2 linked regions of the Tamandua tetradactyla genome follow. The protein of the gene in region 2 purifies or fractionates together with the protein of the main gene of each other region. This does not show direct contact. Links are inferred from orthologs where the notes say so. Each region holds a gene or a part of one and is shown on either strand. Other genes may lie near its edges.

The links.
Region 1: the proteins of FIP1L1 (region 2) and CSTF2T purify together in Homo sapiens (co-immunoprecipitation; 3 studies listed by BioGRID and IntAct, with this or other methods). This does not show direct contact. The link is inferred for Tamandua tetradactyla from reciprocal best matches to the Homo sapiens genes FIP1L1 and CSTF2T.

The regions. Positions count from the first base shown.
Region 1 is NC_135339.1:45,357,792-45,364,626, forward strand, and holds the start of CSTF2T (cleavage stimulation factor subunit 2 tau variant), read left to right. Parts: upstream 1-3,825; 5' UTR 3,826-4,159; coding exon 4,160-6,073; 3' UTR 6,074-6,835. UniProt on the Homo sapiens protein: May play a significant role in AAUAAA-independent mRNA polyadenylation in germ cells. Directly involved in the binding to pre-mRNAs.
Region 2 is NC_135345.1:53,598,111-53,606,055, reverse strand, and holds the start of FIP1L1 (pre-mRNA 3'-end-processing factor FIP1), read right to left. Parts: upstream 3,013-7,945; 5' UTR 2,774-3,012; coding exon 2,689-2,773; intron 1,527-2,688; coding exon 1,482-1,526; intron 1,388-1,481; coding exon 1,348-1,387; intron 1-1,347.

The sequences.
Region 1 (6,835 bases), on a different chromosome or scaffold from region 2:
GAATCTACGCCTTTATTTTGTTAAGAATACAAACATGTAAGAGCAGTTGGGGGCCCTAGTCATAGCTATGAGTGTCCCTGGGGGGTCAGGGTCTTCCCTGTCCTTCTGTGAATTTATATTAAGGGGAAGTCCTGAAGTGAGCATTGAAGGACAAGAAGGATTTAGACTTGGGGAGAAGAGGTAGAGAGGAAAAATATTATCCCTGATAGAGGAGCAGTATAACCTCAGAGGCAGAAATGCACAGATCATATATGGTGAAAAGTAAGTGGTACAACTTAGAAGAAAATACATAAAAAGGAGGGAGGCTAATGACAACGAAGCCACATAATTATAACAGGTTGTCAAATGCAGGAAGCAAGTGCTGCAATTTAGGAAAACTGTCATGAGGGACTGAAATAGACAGTTCAGGTGCAGAAGATACCATAATGGAGAAAGAATCTATAACACTGGTATTCTTAAACCCTCACCATTTATTCCATGGTCATGTTTCAGAAAGAGGGAAGAAAGCCTGACTGCACATCAAATTTAGACTCGTGAATCTGGTGGTTAAAATCTTTTATAATCTGTCTCCCAAATCAATCATTTATCACCCTACTAAACAACTCTCTATTGATTTCCTCTGTGAGTATCAAAATTACCAGGTCCCAACTGTGTGTCTTGGCTACTCCTAGCTACTAGATTATCCTCATCATCTTTTTTTTAAGCAATTTTATTGAGATACATTCACAAACCATATAATTATGCAAATTATATAATCAGTAGTTCACATTATCATCATATAGCTGTGCATTTGTCATCTTATCATCTTTTGTCCATTTGACCAGATTATAACTCATTCCTTAAATCCCATCTTCATCAGGAAACGTTCCATGGTGATCTAGATGGTATCATTCTCTTCCATCTCTATGTTACTCATTACATATCTGGTTTATCAAATAGTAACATGGACATACCATGCCTAAGCTAGGAGTGAACTGGTAGGATTCTAACAGCATGCTTCTTTCCTGCTTTGGAACATATCATTTAACCCCCAAAATTTCCTTCTCTGTAAAATGAAGGGCTTGTGGATTAGCTAACCCTAAATTCATTTTTCATTACTCACTGAACAAATATTCAGTGAGAAACTACCAGTGCTAAACTCTATTATCTGTACTGAGGATAGTGATGAAGAAAAACCATCTATCTATGGCTGTTTTCCTGTAGTACTATGGCTCTCAAACTTTAGCCAGCATCAGAATCACTTGGAAGGCTTGTTACAACATGAATTTCTACACACATGCACCATGCCCTCCAGAGTTTCTGACTCCCTAGTTAGGGACAGGGCCCTCAAACTTGCATTTCTAAGAGGTTTCCAGGTGATTCTGATGCTTCTGGTCCAGGGATCAAACTTTTGAAAAATCTCTATTCTTGTAGAATACTTGACTTTTTCACTGCTGTATTGCCTCTGACTAAAACTATACTCAGTATGTATTTATGGAATGAAAAAAATAATAGAAATTGATATGGGGTATCTAGCTCTTTCTCTTGAATGATTTTATAGTCTACAGGGAAAACACACTAATTTCATTAACAGGTTTAAGAGTTATTGTCATGAGGTAGGTACAAATAAGGAATGGTTTACATCAAAAGGAAAAGGAAATTATGTTCAACCTCGAGGAAGAGGAGGAAGATCTGGAAAAACTTTGTGGAGGAATATATTCAAACTGTGCCTGGAAGAATCCATATACATATTTCAAAGATGCCTGCCACACTCAAAATATTTTTAGAACCTCTCTGTTGAATTTATCTTATTAATCTATAGTGAATCTTCCATTAATGTCCTCAAAGTCTATGGAATCTTTGTATTTTGGTATAAGTTTTGATATTTGAAAATAGCGAAACATCAGACTTTGGCATGTCTGGCCAGAAAGTTGGGTGATTAATTTGTTTCTGCCAAAAGCAAGTTTTGCCACTAATTATCTAGTATTACTTAATGATGGGGCCCTGAAGCGATACCTCAGAAAGCGTTTATAATTCAGTTTAAACAATGGCAGCATCAATAACTAAAGTTCATATTCTATGAAGGTAGTCGGTTTGAAAGACACCCCCCATTTAGCCATCTAGACCCTGATGTATTTTTTTAATCATCATTTGCATAATTAACAGCTTGATTTATTGAACGAATTGATCAGTGGACATACAATAAGCTTTGTATATTTTTCTTCAGAATAAATATTGTGCTATAAATCCCTTAAGTTTAAACTTTCTGGGAATAAAGAACATTGTATAAAAATGGACATTTTTCCAAAGTAGAGCTATAAAAAATATGTATTTTCACCAGTAAATGTACACAGGTTCATAAGAGCTCTTGGTGATTCTGGGCAACTCTGTTAATAATAAATATTAGTTTATGCGTTGCAGGCATTTACTTATGTGCTGGGTCACATTGGTCCTCCGTGAAGGGGGCCGTGTCAAAGCAGCACCCACCATTCTTCCTATCCCTGGATGGAACAGGGTGACTGAGAAGACCATGGAGGGCTAAGGACAAAAAGCAGGCTCATGCTCTCGGCTGTTTGTCCACAGAATTTCTCAGCTTCTCTTTGTCTACCCATCCTTTGAGCCCGGGGTTATCTTCAGTTGTGTGTGTGTGGGGGCGGGGGGGGGGGGGGAGTTGCGTATCAGTACATCCTAGCAGTACTAGATCCACATGATTTTTTTTTTCAAACCACCCAGCTCTCCTACCTTTTAACAGAGTGTACTAAATTTAATTCGGCCTAATGCATGTGAAGATAAAGCATTTCAAGTTTTTTGTTTACGAGTGGTTGTTAAAAGTGTGGGTCCCAGACCAGCCTGAAACTTGTTACACATGCAAATGACCTAGTCCCACCCCGGATCAGAACCTGGGTGGGAGAAAAGAGCCCCAACAATCTGACTTAACGAGCCCTAGTTCCAGGTGTTTCCGTTGTGGGCTACCATCTGTGAACCACTGGGTGCTATCAGTAGCAGCAGTAAAGGAGCTACTTTTTAAAAGTTTTCTGAAATACCATCTTTAACTCCTCACAACCCCACCCCCGGCCCCCCATAAAAGAAAAAGAATAAGGGGGGGGGGATCTTTCCTAGCAGACAGCTTTTCTGTTTCTCTGAGGCAGCAAGTAGATTTTATTGGGTGATATATATACGCTTGCACATACAAATTGGCATGTGTCTTGGGCGAACAGGTATGTCAAATCCTGTTTGAAAAGACTATTAAAACACTTGAGAGTAAATGGATGCAATAAAAATATCGTATTATATACACTGAACTATAAACTAAATGCCTACTAATACAATGGTTACATACATTTGCTTAATTCAAGCCTTGCAGCCACAAAACGCTATTTATTAGCAATGATTAACATTAATATCGACTAGCACTATTACGAAAAGAAAGAAAAACAATCCAGTATGAATTGATTGATTTTGTGAACCAAGAAAAATCTGCAAGAACCGGCAAACCCGAAGCAACAGATTGGGGGCGGGGAGGGAACCGGCACACGTGTTCAGTCTTTCTGCTTAGGCAGTTATTTTCCAAATATGTTTTTCTCTAAAGGAGAAATTATGTTTGTAATTTAAGGAGCGAATATCAAATCGGCTTTAAAACTGCCCTTTCTGTCATAGTTTGGAACATGGTTTTAAATATTGCTTAAATACTCTACATTAAGAGTAAACGGCTACATGAAAATATTTGCCTCAGAATGAAGAAACACCCCCCTGCCTTCATCAGCTTTCGGTTGGCGGTTTCGCGCCGGCCGAACGGAAGCCGAACGGACCCTTGACGTCAAAAGAGGCGGCCTGTCTCGTTTACCAGGATGAAGCCAATACTGCCATCTTTACTTAGGTCACCTCACACCAAGCTCTCCCTGGTAGGAGTAGGGCGCCATGGAAAGTCGGCATAATAAGAGAAAAGGAAAAGTGCATCTCGGTAACAATTTGCTGACAGAACCACGAAAGGCCTGGGGCTGGCAAGCGTTAAACTAGGGGGACATACAGGTGCGGTTTCCGCAGAGAAGCGGAACGATTCAAGCGCATCAATGAGGTTTCTGCCCGGATTTTGAGAGCCGTTTCCGCTAGTTGCCGGAAGTGTGTATTGGGGGACAACTCTCGAAAGAATCCGCTATCCGCTGTTTTCATAAACGGAATCATGTCGAGTTTGGCTGTGAGAGACCCGGCAATGGATCGATCACTGCGTTCCGTGTTCGTGGGGAACATTCCGTATGAGGCAACTGAGGAGCAGTTAAAGGACATTTTCTCGGAGGTTGGTTCTGTTGTCAGTTTCCGTCTGGTATACGATAGAGAGACGGGAAAACCCAAGGGTTATGGCTTCTGCGAGTATCAAGACCAGGAGACCGCGCTTAGTGCCATGCGGAACCTCAACGGGCGGGAGTTCAGCGGGCGAGCGCTTCGGGTGGACAATGCTGCTAGTGAAAAGAATAAGGAGGAGTTAAAGAGTCTAGGGCCGGCAGCGCCCATCATTGACTCACCCTATGGGGATCCCATCGATCCGGAAGATGCCCCTGAATCAATTACTAGAGCAGTCGCCAGTCTCCCTCCGGAACAGATGTTTGAGCTAATGAAGCAGATGAAGCTCTGTGTCCAAAACAGCCACCAGGAAGCTCGAAATATGTTGCTTCAAAACCCGCAGTTGGCTTATGCGCTGTTGCAGGCACAAGTGGTGATGAGAATCATGGATCCAGAGATTGCTTTGAAAATTCTGCATCGTAAGATACATGTCACGCCACTAATTCCGGGCAAATCTCAGTCTGTCTCCGGCCCAGGCCTGTGCCCAGGACCTAATGTTCTGCTGAACCAGCAGAACCCTCCAGCCCCTCAGCCTCAACATTTGGCTAGAAGACCCGTGAAAGACATTCCTCCTCTGATGCAAACTCCTATCCAGGGTGGAATTCCAGCCCCGGGGGCGATCCCAACTGCTGTTCCTGGACCTGGAACTGGTTCCTTAACTCCTGGAGGAGCAATGCAGCCCCAGGTTGGAATGCCTGGGGTTGGCCCAGTGCCTTTAGAGCGGGGACACGTACAGATGTCAGATCCCAGGGCGCCTATATCTCGTGGACCCATGACTGCTGCTGGCCTGCCTCCTAGAGGACTGCTAGGAGATGCTCCAAATGATCCACGTGGAGGGACTTTGCTTTCAGTTACTGGAGAAGTAGAGCCCAGAGGTTACCTGGGCCCACCCCACCAAGGTCCCCCCATGCACCATGTCTCTGGTCATGACAACCGTGGACCTGCCTCACATGAAATGAGGGGAGGGCCATTAGCAGATCCCAGAATGCTAATTGGAGAGCCCAGAGGACCCATGCTAGATCAAAGGGGTCTACCCCTGGATGGTAGAGGTAGTAGAGATTCTCGAGTGATGGAGACTCGAGCCATGGAGACTGAGGTCTTAGAGACACGAGTAATGGAGAGAAGAGGAATGGAGACCTGTGCGATGGAAGTTAGAGGCATGGATGCAAGAGGAATGGAGATAAGAGGTCCTGGCCCCAGTTCAAGAGGCCCTATGACTGGTGGAATCCAGGGTCCTGGTCCCATCAGTATGGGGGCAGGTGGCCCTCAGGGTCCCAGACAGGTTCCAAGCATTTCAGGAGTGGGAAATCCTGGAGCTGGCATGCAGGGGACAGGCATCCAAGGAGCAGGCATGCAGGGGGCAGGCATGCAGGGGGCAGGTATGCAGGGGGCAGGCATGCAGGGGGCTGGTATGCAGGGGGCAGGCATGCAGGGGGCTGGTATGCAGGGGGCAGGCATGCAGGGGGCAGGCATGCAGGGGGCAGGCATACAAGGGGCAGGCATTCAAGCAGTGGGCATCCAGGGGGCAGGCATACAAGGAGGCGGCATGCAGGGGGCAGGCAAGCAAGGTGGAGGCCAGCCTAGCAGTTTTAGTCCGGGGCAGAGCCAGGTAACTCCACAGGATCAAGAAAAAGCAGCATTGATCATGCAGGTTCTTCAACTGACTGCAGATCAGATTGCCATGCTGCCTCCTGAGCAAAGGCAGAGTATTCTGATTTTGAAAGAGCAAATCCAGAAATCCACTGGAGCTTCTTGAAAAGTTTTAGAAAATACACAAGGCAGTAATCTCAGAAAGTTAATTCTGTAGCATGGAGAAGGGGTGCAAAAAGCTGATTTACACATCCCCACACTTGAAAGTTTAAGATTAAGGTTTACCTCTGCTTCCTAGAGCCTAATCTCATTTTTTCTTATTTTTCTTTCCTTCAGCTTTCCTTTTCACTTTTAATTGGGGGGAGGGGGTGGAGGGTATGGGTCTGTTCACTCAAGTTACCGAGAAATACAAAAGTAACACTGAACATGATTGTATTTTACCAAAAAAGCTTATAAAGAATGTGCGACAATATGAAAGGTATCTACAATATGTTAACTACATTTTTAAAAATTGAGTAGAACTATGAAAACTGCACATAAAGATTATGGTAACCTGTGTTAAAATGGCAATGTGTTAAGATAGTTTAAGATTTTAAGTTGTAGAATAAAAAAGTTTACCTCAAAATTATAAAGTTATATTTTTTGGTAAGCCATTTAAAGGCTAAGCTTTATGTTTTTGAGTTATGTTGAAATGTTAAGAGTTAATGGGATAAGTTTAAACTTGTGGTATTGGAATTGCTTTCTTCTAAAGCTGTGCTACCTGAAAAATCAAGGAGTGCACCTGGTTTTATGTTGCTTCATTTATCCCACCCTTCAGAGACATTGTTCTAGTCTAGCTCTGATTAGATTCAGTCTAATTCAGTACCTTCCCTTGCCTCAAGTCTTTAAGCCCTAAGTCAAATCTGAGTAATTTTTACTTGAAAATTTG
Region 2 (7,945 bases):
AACAAAAACTAAATGATAAAATTTCATGATACAACAATGAATGAAAAAAATTTCTTGCAAAACAGGAGACAATATTTTGGAGGAGGAAGAACACTCTTATTTCAGTTTCTCCTCAGCTATTTCTTCTTCCACTTCTTCCCTTCATCACTCACTTTTTTAAATAACAGCTTTAGAAATATAATTTATATAACACAATTCACGAATTTAAAGTGTACAATTCATTGTTCACAAAGTAATGCAACCATCAACACTCATTTCAGAGCATTTTCATCACCCCAAAAAGAAATTTCATGCTCACTCCCATTTTCCCTCCCACATCATTGGCCAGAACTAATCTGCTATACGCTGCCTATCCTCAACATTCCATATAAATGGAATCATAACATACACAACCCTTTGCGACTGGCTTCTTTCACTTAGCATGTCCTCAAGGTTCATCAATGATGGAGACATGTATCAGTACTTCATTTTTTATTGCTAAATAGTATTTCAGTGTACGGTTATACCATATTTTATTTTTCCATCAGCTGATGGACATTTGAGTTGTTTCCAATTTGGGGCTATAATGACATATGATGCTATAAACATTCATGCACAAATTTTGTGTTTTTATTTCTCCAGTGTATAACACCTAGGAGTGGAACTGCTGGGCCATATGGTAACTGCTTAACCTTTTGAGAAACTTTCAGACTTTTCCAAAGTGGTTGCAGCATTTTATGTATGAGGGTTCTAATTTTTCCATATCATCAACACCTGCTATCTGTCCTTTTTATTACAGCCATATTAGTGGGTGTGAAGTTTCCACTTTTAAGCTCAAATATTCTTTAAAACTCTTTCTACACCACCCCCAACCACATAATAGGACACTAAGACAATCTGGTCAGAATAAAGACAGCACATCCATGTACATGAGTTATTTCGAAATACAAAATTCTTGGCTCTTTTACGTTTACACATGGCACTCAAAACTTTCTAGTAGTCTAACAATGGGAATCATTCTTCTAATAAATTAATTCTCCTGTGAATTTAAACATATGGAACATACTGAAATTATAACTAAAGAGCATACAACATCAAAAATGTTAAACTGTAAAAGCAGTAATATCTTGGCTCCCTTCTTAAAAAAATGTTTAAGTTTTAAAATGTCTGTTAGTAGTTTTTGTTATTACATTATTGAGCACAGTTATAAGAGAAGATTAGGTCCTGAAATAAGAATGCACACTAAAGGGTCCGACTTTCTTCAAAATTTTGCAATTAAGCCATTGATTTAAATGAAAGAAGTCTATTTGTTGATAGAACAGTTGCATCACACAATCTATATAGTAAATACCAACAGATTTCACTAACCTGGCATTTTCCTCTTCTGGCCTTTCAACTTCATTTTCATCTAACAAAAAAATAAGTAAGTAAGTAAACAAACCACTCTTAATGAAACAGGTTTTATGAAAATCTGAAGTGATCATCAAATCACAAGCACTAACCTAGGTCCTTTGCCAAATCACTGTGCACATGCACGTCCCATGGGCCTATAAGCACATCCAAAGTTAGATCACCTTATAATTAACAAAATAAAATTTACGGAAAAAATCTTCACATCTTACTTCTATAAAAATAGCTTAATTTTAAACGTATTGTAGATTTCCACATCTTTTGTATAAGAAAACCTACACATTGATATTTCGGAGAGTTTTACTAATGTTAAAGCTTGCCACCAAAGACAAGGAATTTACTTCACAGCTTTATCAACGTCACACCATCAAGAAGCTATGTGGTGTTAGAAACAGACACCTTTACTACACAATTCTAAAGATAATCAAGAATTTAGGCAAGTATTAAATATAATCTTTTAAAGCTGGTGTCAGCAACAGACATGAAGGGATTGTGATTTAAAGTTAAAAACCACATGTCAAACAAGCCCCTTTCAAGAGGGAGGCACAAGATGCATTAAATTTATTTTGAGAAAAATACAGGGGATGACACAAACACACACAATCTTGAGATAACCTGTGTAACTGACTCAGAGTAGTCCCTAAAAAGAAACTTCACCTTAAAGCATGAAAATTTCAAGATTTTCTTTATGGGTCGTAAAATACATTCCATCTCTCTCCTTTCTCTCTTTCACTAATTATTTTTTTAAAGCACGACTTTGAGACAAGGAGGTACACTTGCAGGTGCATTCCATACAAACTGACCAGCAGGAAACAAAACATTAGTTTTACAGCATTAACTTTATTTAGCTATTATTACAGGACGACTTTCTGACAGAAACGAACGGGAATGGCATCCTACAGCCAAGAAGCAAAAAGAGAAACACCAAAAACATCCAAAATCGATACAAGAAACAAGTGTAAAGAACGCGAAGACAAGGAAGCCAAGAAGTCCCGACAGATAGGAGGAAGAAACTCCACCGTACTGCCCCCATGCCTCCGACCCCGAAACCCCCAGCTCCGGCGAGGCCGCGTCCTCCGCCGCTGCGGGGCGGTGCGTGCTGGGGGAGTGGGCTGGGCAGGAGGAGGCCGAGGGGAGCCGAGGGAGAGCGTGCATGCCGCGCTTGGCCTAGTCAGGCCGAGCATAGCTCCGCACAACAGGCCCAAGGCCGAGGCTTGATGGGCCCATGACGCCAGCCGTTTGGGGACGGAGAAAGGAAGTCTGCGAAAACCTGGGAGGGAGAGAAAGGAAGTTCCGTACCGCCATAGAGCCACTCTTCCTCCTCATCCCCTCCGGTCCCGCCGCTCAGGTCCGACACTAGGCGCTCGACCTCGCCGGCCGACATGGCCGCCCCGAGCACAACTTAAAGGCGGCGATCAACAGCCCCTCAAACCCTTTCCCCAGACTCGCTGCCCAGGGGCGCGAGGGGGGCACGAACCCGCCAGCGAGCGAACCAAGAAAGCGCGCGACTTAAATCCAGGGTGGGCGGCCGCCGGCGGCGGAGGCGGCAAAGATGAAGACTCAAGAGCAGGTCAGCTTGCGCACGCGCAGCAGCACGCAAGCTGCGCGGCTGCTCTCGGTGGCTTTGCTTCCGCGGCGGCGGCCACCTGGACCTAACTGCGCGTGTGCGCCGCAGTTGGCCCCGCCCCTGTGGAATGCCGCTTTGCCTTTCTGTAGGGCTCTTCGCGGCGGCGTCCTGCGTCTGCTAGAATTCCCCTCCCCCGACTTTGCCTCCACAACTCGTGTTGCCTTTTCCGGGAAGTGCGCCATTGTTCTCTTTAGCCCGGATGGTTGCTCTTCTCAACCTTTTTTTTTTTTTTTTTTTTTTTTTTTTTGTCTTCGGAAGGGCATTGTTTTCTTCATTACAGGTTGTATCAGCCTTGGTACAGAATCGTTACCTCTAGGTCTCTGTTTCTCATTAGAGAAGAAATAGTTCTTGCCCTTCCCCGCGAAAAAATCATGCCCACCTTTTTTTTATAGGAAACAAAAGCAAAGTAATATAGGAATAATACATCCTTCTTGTTAAAAAGAAAAAACACAGGAAAATATTACAATTAAAGCCAAAGAACCCTTTATCCACTGCCTACCTCTCCAGAAGTAACCATTGAATCTGGTGTGCAGAATTCTGAAATATTCTATGTACTTATTTCTCGTGTATGGTATTGTTTTAGTGGAGGAATCTAAGGTTGACTAGTCTTAAAAGGTAAATACAATGCATATCACCCTGCGGCTTTTTTTCTTTTTAACTCAGCAGTGTCTTGGAGATCTTTTCCATGTTGGCATATATCGAACTATTTCCATTTTTTAAGTGTTGCATAACATTCCATAGCGTGGCTGTCATAAAGTCAACACGGTTATTTCCCTATTGATTTCCCTACTGACAGGATTGTTTTCAACTTTTCTCTTGTTTTTTAAATTAGGGAAGTTCAGGTTTATAGAAAAATCGTACTGAAAATGGAGTTCTCATATCCTCCCTTCACACACATACAGTTTACCCTATTATTAACACTTTGCATTCGTGAGGTACCTATGTTACAATTAATGAAATAATATTACTATACTATTAAATCTAGACCACAGTTTATATTAGGGTTCACTGTATTGTAGAGAGCTATGTGTTTTTATTTCAATTTTTATTCTAGTAGCATATATTTCCCCTCTATTCACTTTAAAATATATAATGCAGTGCTGTTAATTAACACTGATAATGTTGTGCTATATCATCACCATCCATTACCAAAACTTTCCTATTACCCCAAACTGAAACTCTGTATCAATTAAGCATTTGCTATTTCACTTTTACCAAAACAAGCAAAAAAACAAACAACAACAACAAAAAACTGTGATGAAAATCTTTGTAAATAACTTGCAGACTTTTACAAATGTTTCTCCAAGATAGGTCATAAAGTATGTGCAGTTTTAAATAGATAAAGGTAAATTTTCAGGCATCTTTTGAGAACGTGTTTTCCAAAGCGAAGATGATGTATGATGGGTCAAAACCAGAATTGTAGTTCTTAACTATAACTAGATAGTTACATGACCTCAGGTCAGTCATTCTATGCTTCAGTTTCTCATCTGTAAAATGGGAAAGCTGAATTAAATGATTTTTAACTTTACTTTCAGTTCTAAGGTTTTCAAATAGGACACTCCCTTTTCAGAAAAGGGAAGAAACAGAAAGAAATCCTTTTTAGTTTTACAAATAATGAATTTTCTTTCTCTTTCATCAATACAAATTGTTTTCATTAATTTATTTAAAAACGATTGAGTATCTGATATGTTTAAATATAGAGGCATGAATGAAAAGAGTCCCTTCCCTTAAAGAGCTCTCAATTTACTGAGAAAGACAAAAAGGTGGTTAGTAATTAATTCTCCTACAAGGAAAAAGGCAGACTGCCGCAAGAGAAGCATAAGTGCTTGCACCCAACCAATAACACACCATCTCAAGTTACTTAAGCCTGTGTTTTTAATACCCCTTATCTTTGGACACTCCTTTAGCTGCTTTTTCCAGTCTCTGCTATCTTACGGTAATCCCTTGCAGCCTTCTAAACTCTGTTGAAATATAATTCCATTTGTGAAATCTTTCTTGAATCCCACTTCATCCCTTTCCATTTATTAAAAAAATTTTATGTGGGCACCTAACAGTGCCAGGCACTCTTCTGGGCTCTGTAGATCCAAAACACTGAGTAAAAAAAAGTCCTTTGTCTCATGGAGCTTCCATTCTAATGAGAAAGACAGACATAAACATATCAATGTATAATATGTCAGTGGTAATTAAGCTTATAAAGAAGAGTGGCAGCATAAGGGGAACTAGAGCTGAGGGATAAAGAGAGATGGGGTGCAATTTTATATCAGGTGGTCAGTAAGGGCCACTATGATATGGTGATGCAAGACTAGATACCTGAATGGATTGAGGAAGTAAGCCCCATGGATTTCTGGGTGAATAGACTGTGAGACAGTAGAAATAGGAAGTGCGAAGGCCTGAGGTAGAAGCGTGCTTAAGGGATTCTAGGAACCCAAAAATGTAGCAGGAGAGGAGTGAGCATGAGAGAGAGAGTTATAGACAAGGTCAGAGGTATTGGGAAGTGAGTAGGGCAAAGCTAATAATTTTCTACATCCTATGCTGTTTCTGTGGCTTATATCTATCTCATCATATAGTGATTATTTGACTACATATTTGTTTTTCTAAGCATCCTCACTAGACCAATTCCTCCCTCAAACAAGCCATTTATTTGTGGTTCCTGCTGCTGGTGTGATGCCCAACATGTAGTAGACTTCTTGGTCTTTGATGGAATGAAGTAATGGAATGAAGGTTTTACATACCACTTTGGGAATATCATAAGGCAATGGCTCATAGTTCCATCTGTTCATCATTCTTCTTTTCATGCTATGAATCTGTAATAAACTTTGGTGGTTTCATGGGAAAACCAATTACTTTTTGCTGAAGAGCATCTTTCTCCTTTTAGCTACCTTGAAATCAAGGCATTGTTGAAACCAAACCAAGGAATTGATGAATAGTAATTAATGCAATAGAATTGACTTTGTGGTAGAGGTGGCATTTGAAGTAAGCTTTGCAAATGAAGATTTCCAACAGGCAGAGAAGCCCATAAATCACTAATAACCACTCCTATAGCCCTCTTCCTTCCTTAGCTTCCTAATTTAGTTAATTGCCTTTAGAGTCTTCCTTAGTTTAAAGACATCATTACCTCCCTACTCATCAGGGAACACTCTTCCAAAATAGCTTGAAGATATTGTGTACAGATCCTCCCACTTCCAAGGGTTAGCATTTCTCTTGCGTTATGACCTTATAAAAGTACAGTACTCCATATATTATGTTTATATGTGTTGTCCATTTTATTATTGTGGTCTGTTGGTTCTTGGCAAAAAAAAAAATCTCTCGTAATATGTCTTTCTGAGAAGTACTGAAAGAAGGTACTCAGTATATGATTAAAATGGTGACAATAGTTGATCAAATAAAAATGCTGTATAATGGGGTTTTCTAGGGAAACAGAACCTACAGGTGATAATTAAAAAAAAAATTATCCCATACAACAGTGGAGATGCACGAGTCCAAGTTCCATAGGGCAGGCTGTAATCTGGGAACGCCAATGAAAATTTTTGATGAATTCCCCAGGAGAAACTGGCCAGCTGAAGTAGAGATGAAAATTTTATCTTCTAACTGCGGAAATCATCACTTCTCCTTTTAAAGTCTTCAACTAATTGGATTAAACATTTCTCATTACTGAAGATACTCTCCTTAATTGATTATAGATCTAATCCATCATAAATGCAATCAATTTACTGATAATTTAAATCCACAAAATGTCCTCACAGTAACAGGCCAGTGTTTGCTTGACTAGACAACTGGGCACCATTACCTGGCCAAGGTGAGACATGAGCCTAACCATCACAAATGCTGTGCTGGTTTGAAAGGATTTATGTGCCCTAGAAAAGCCATGTTTTAATTCTAATCCCATTTTGTAAAGACAGCCATTTTTTCTAATTCCTATCCAGTACTATAGGTTGGAAACTTGATTAGGTTATCACCACGGAGATGTAACTTGATCACTTGTGGATATTAAGCTTGATTAGATGGAGATGTGTCTCCTCCCATTCCGGGTGGGTCTTGATTACTTTACTGGAATTCTTTAAAAGAGGAAGCATTTTGGAAAAGGTTTAAGATCTGAGAGATCTGCCAGAATCACACAAATGGCATAGCCACAAGAAGCAGAGAGCCCACCAGCCAGCAGCCTTTGAAAATGAAGAAGGAGAATGCCCTCTGGGGAGCTTCATGAAACAAAAGGCCTGGAGAGGAAGCTAACAGACGTCACCATGTTTGCCACATGCCTTTTCAGTTGAGAGAGAAACCTTGAATTTCATCGGCCATTCTTGAGTGAAGCTAACCTCTTGTTGGTGCCTTAATTTGGACATTTTTATAGACTTGCTTTAATTGGGACATTTTCATGGCCTTAGAACTGTAAACTCACAACTTAATAAATTTCCCCCTTTTAAAAGCCATTCCATTTCTGATATATTGAATTCTAGCAGCTAGCAAACTAGAACAAATGCCTTGCTCAGTACTTGGTATGTACAAGTACTTGTAAATGATTTTTGAATGAATATAAATTAATGAAGGTGGTGGAAAAAAAAACTAAGAAAAGGAAAAATAAAGCAGATCAGACATTCATCCTGACTTTATCTCTTGCTGCCAACTTTAAATGTCACTTGCCTAAGTACTATTGGTATGTTAAATGACATTTTGCACCCATTTCTTGGAAGAGTAACAAAAATTAACTGAGATTTCAAATGTCAAAGCATTTGACCTATTATAGGCAAGCAGGTTGTGCCTTGTGGGTTAGGCCCTTTCTCCTTTGAGTAACCTGAATAATTGCATGTGTGTAGAGCTTTCTTCCCGCTGTAGATTCTTGAGTGATCAGAATTAAGTCCCAGTTATCCATCCTCTGCATTCTGACAACCTTTAACACTATATTTTATATTGCTAGTTGTTTCTGGCAAGGTG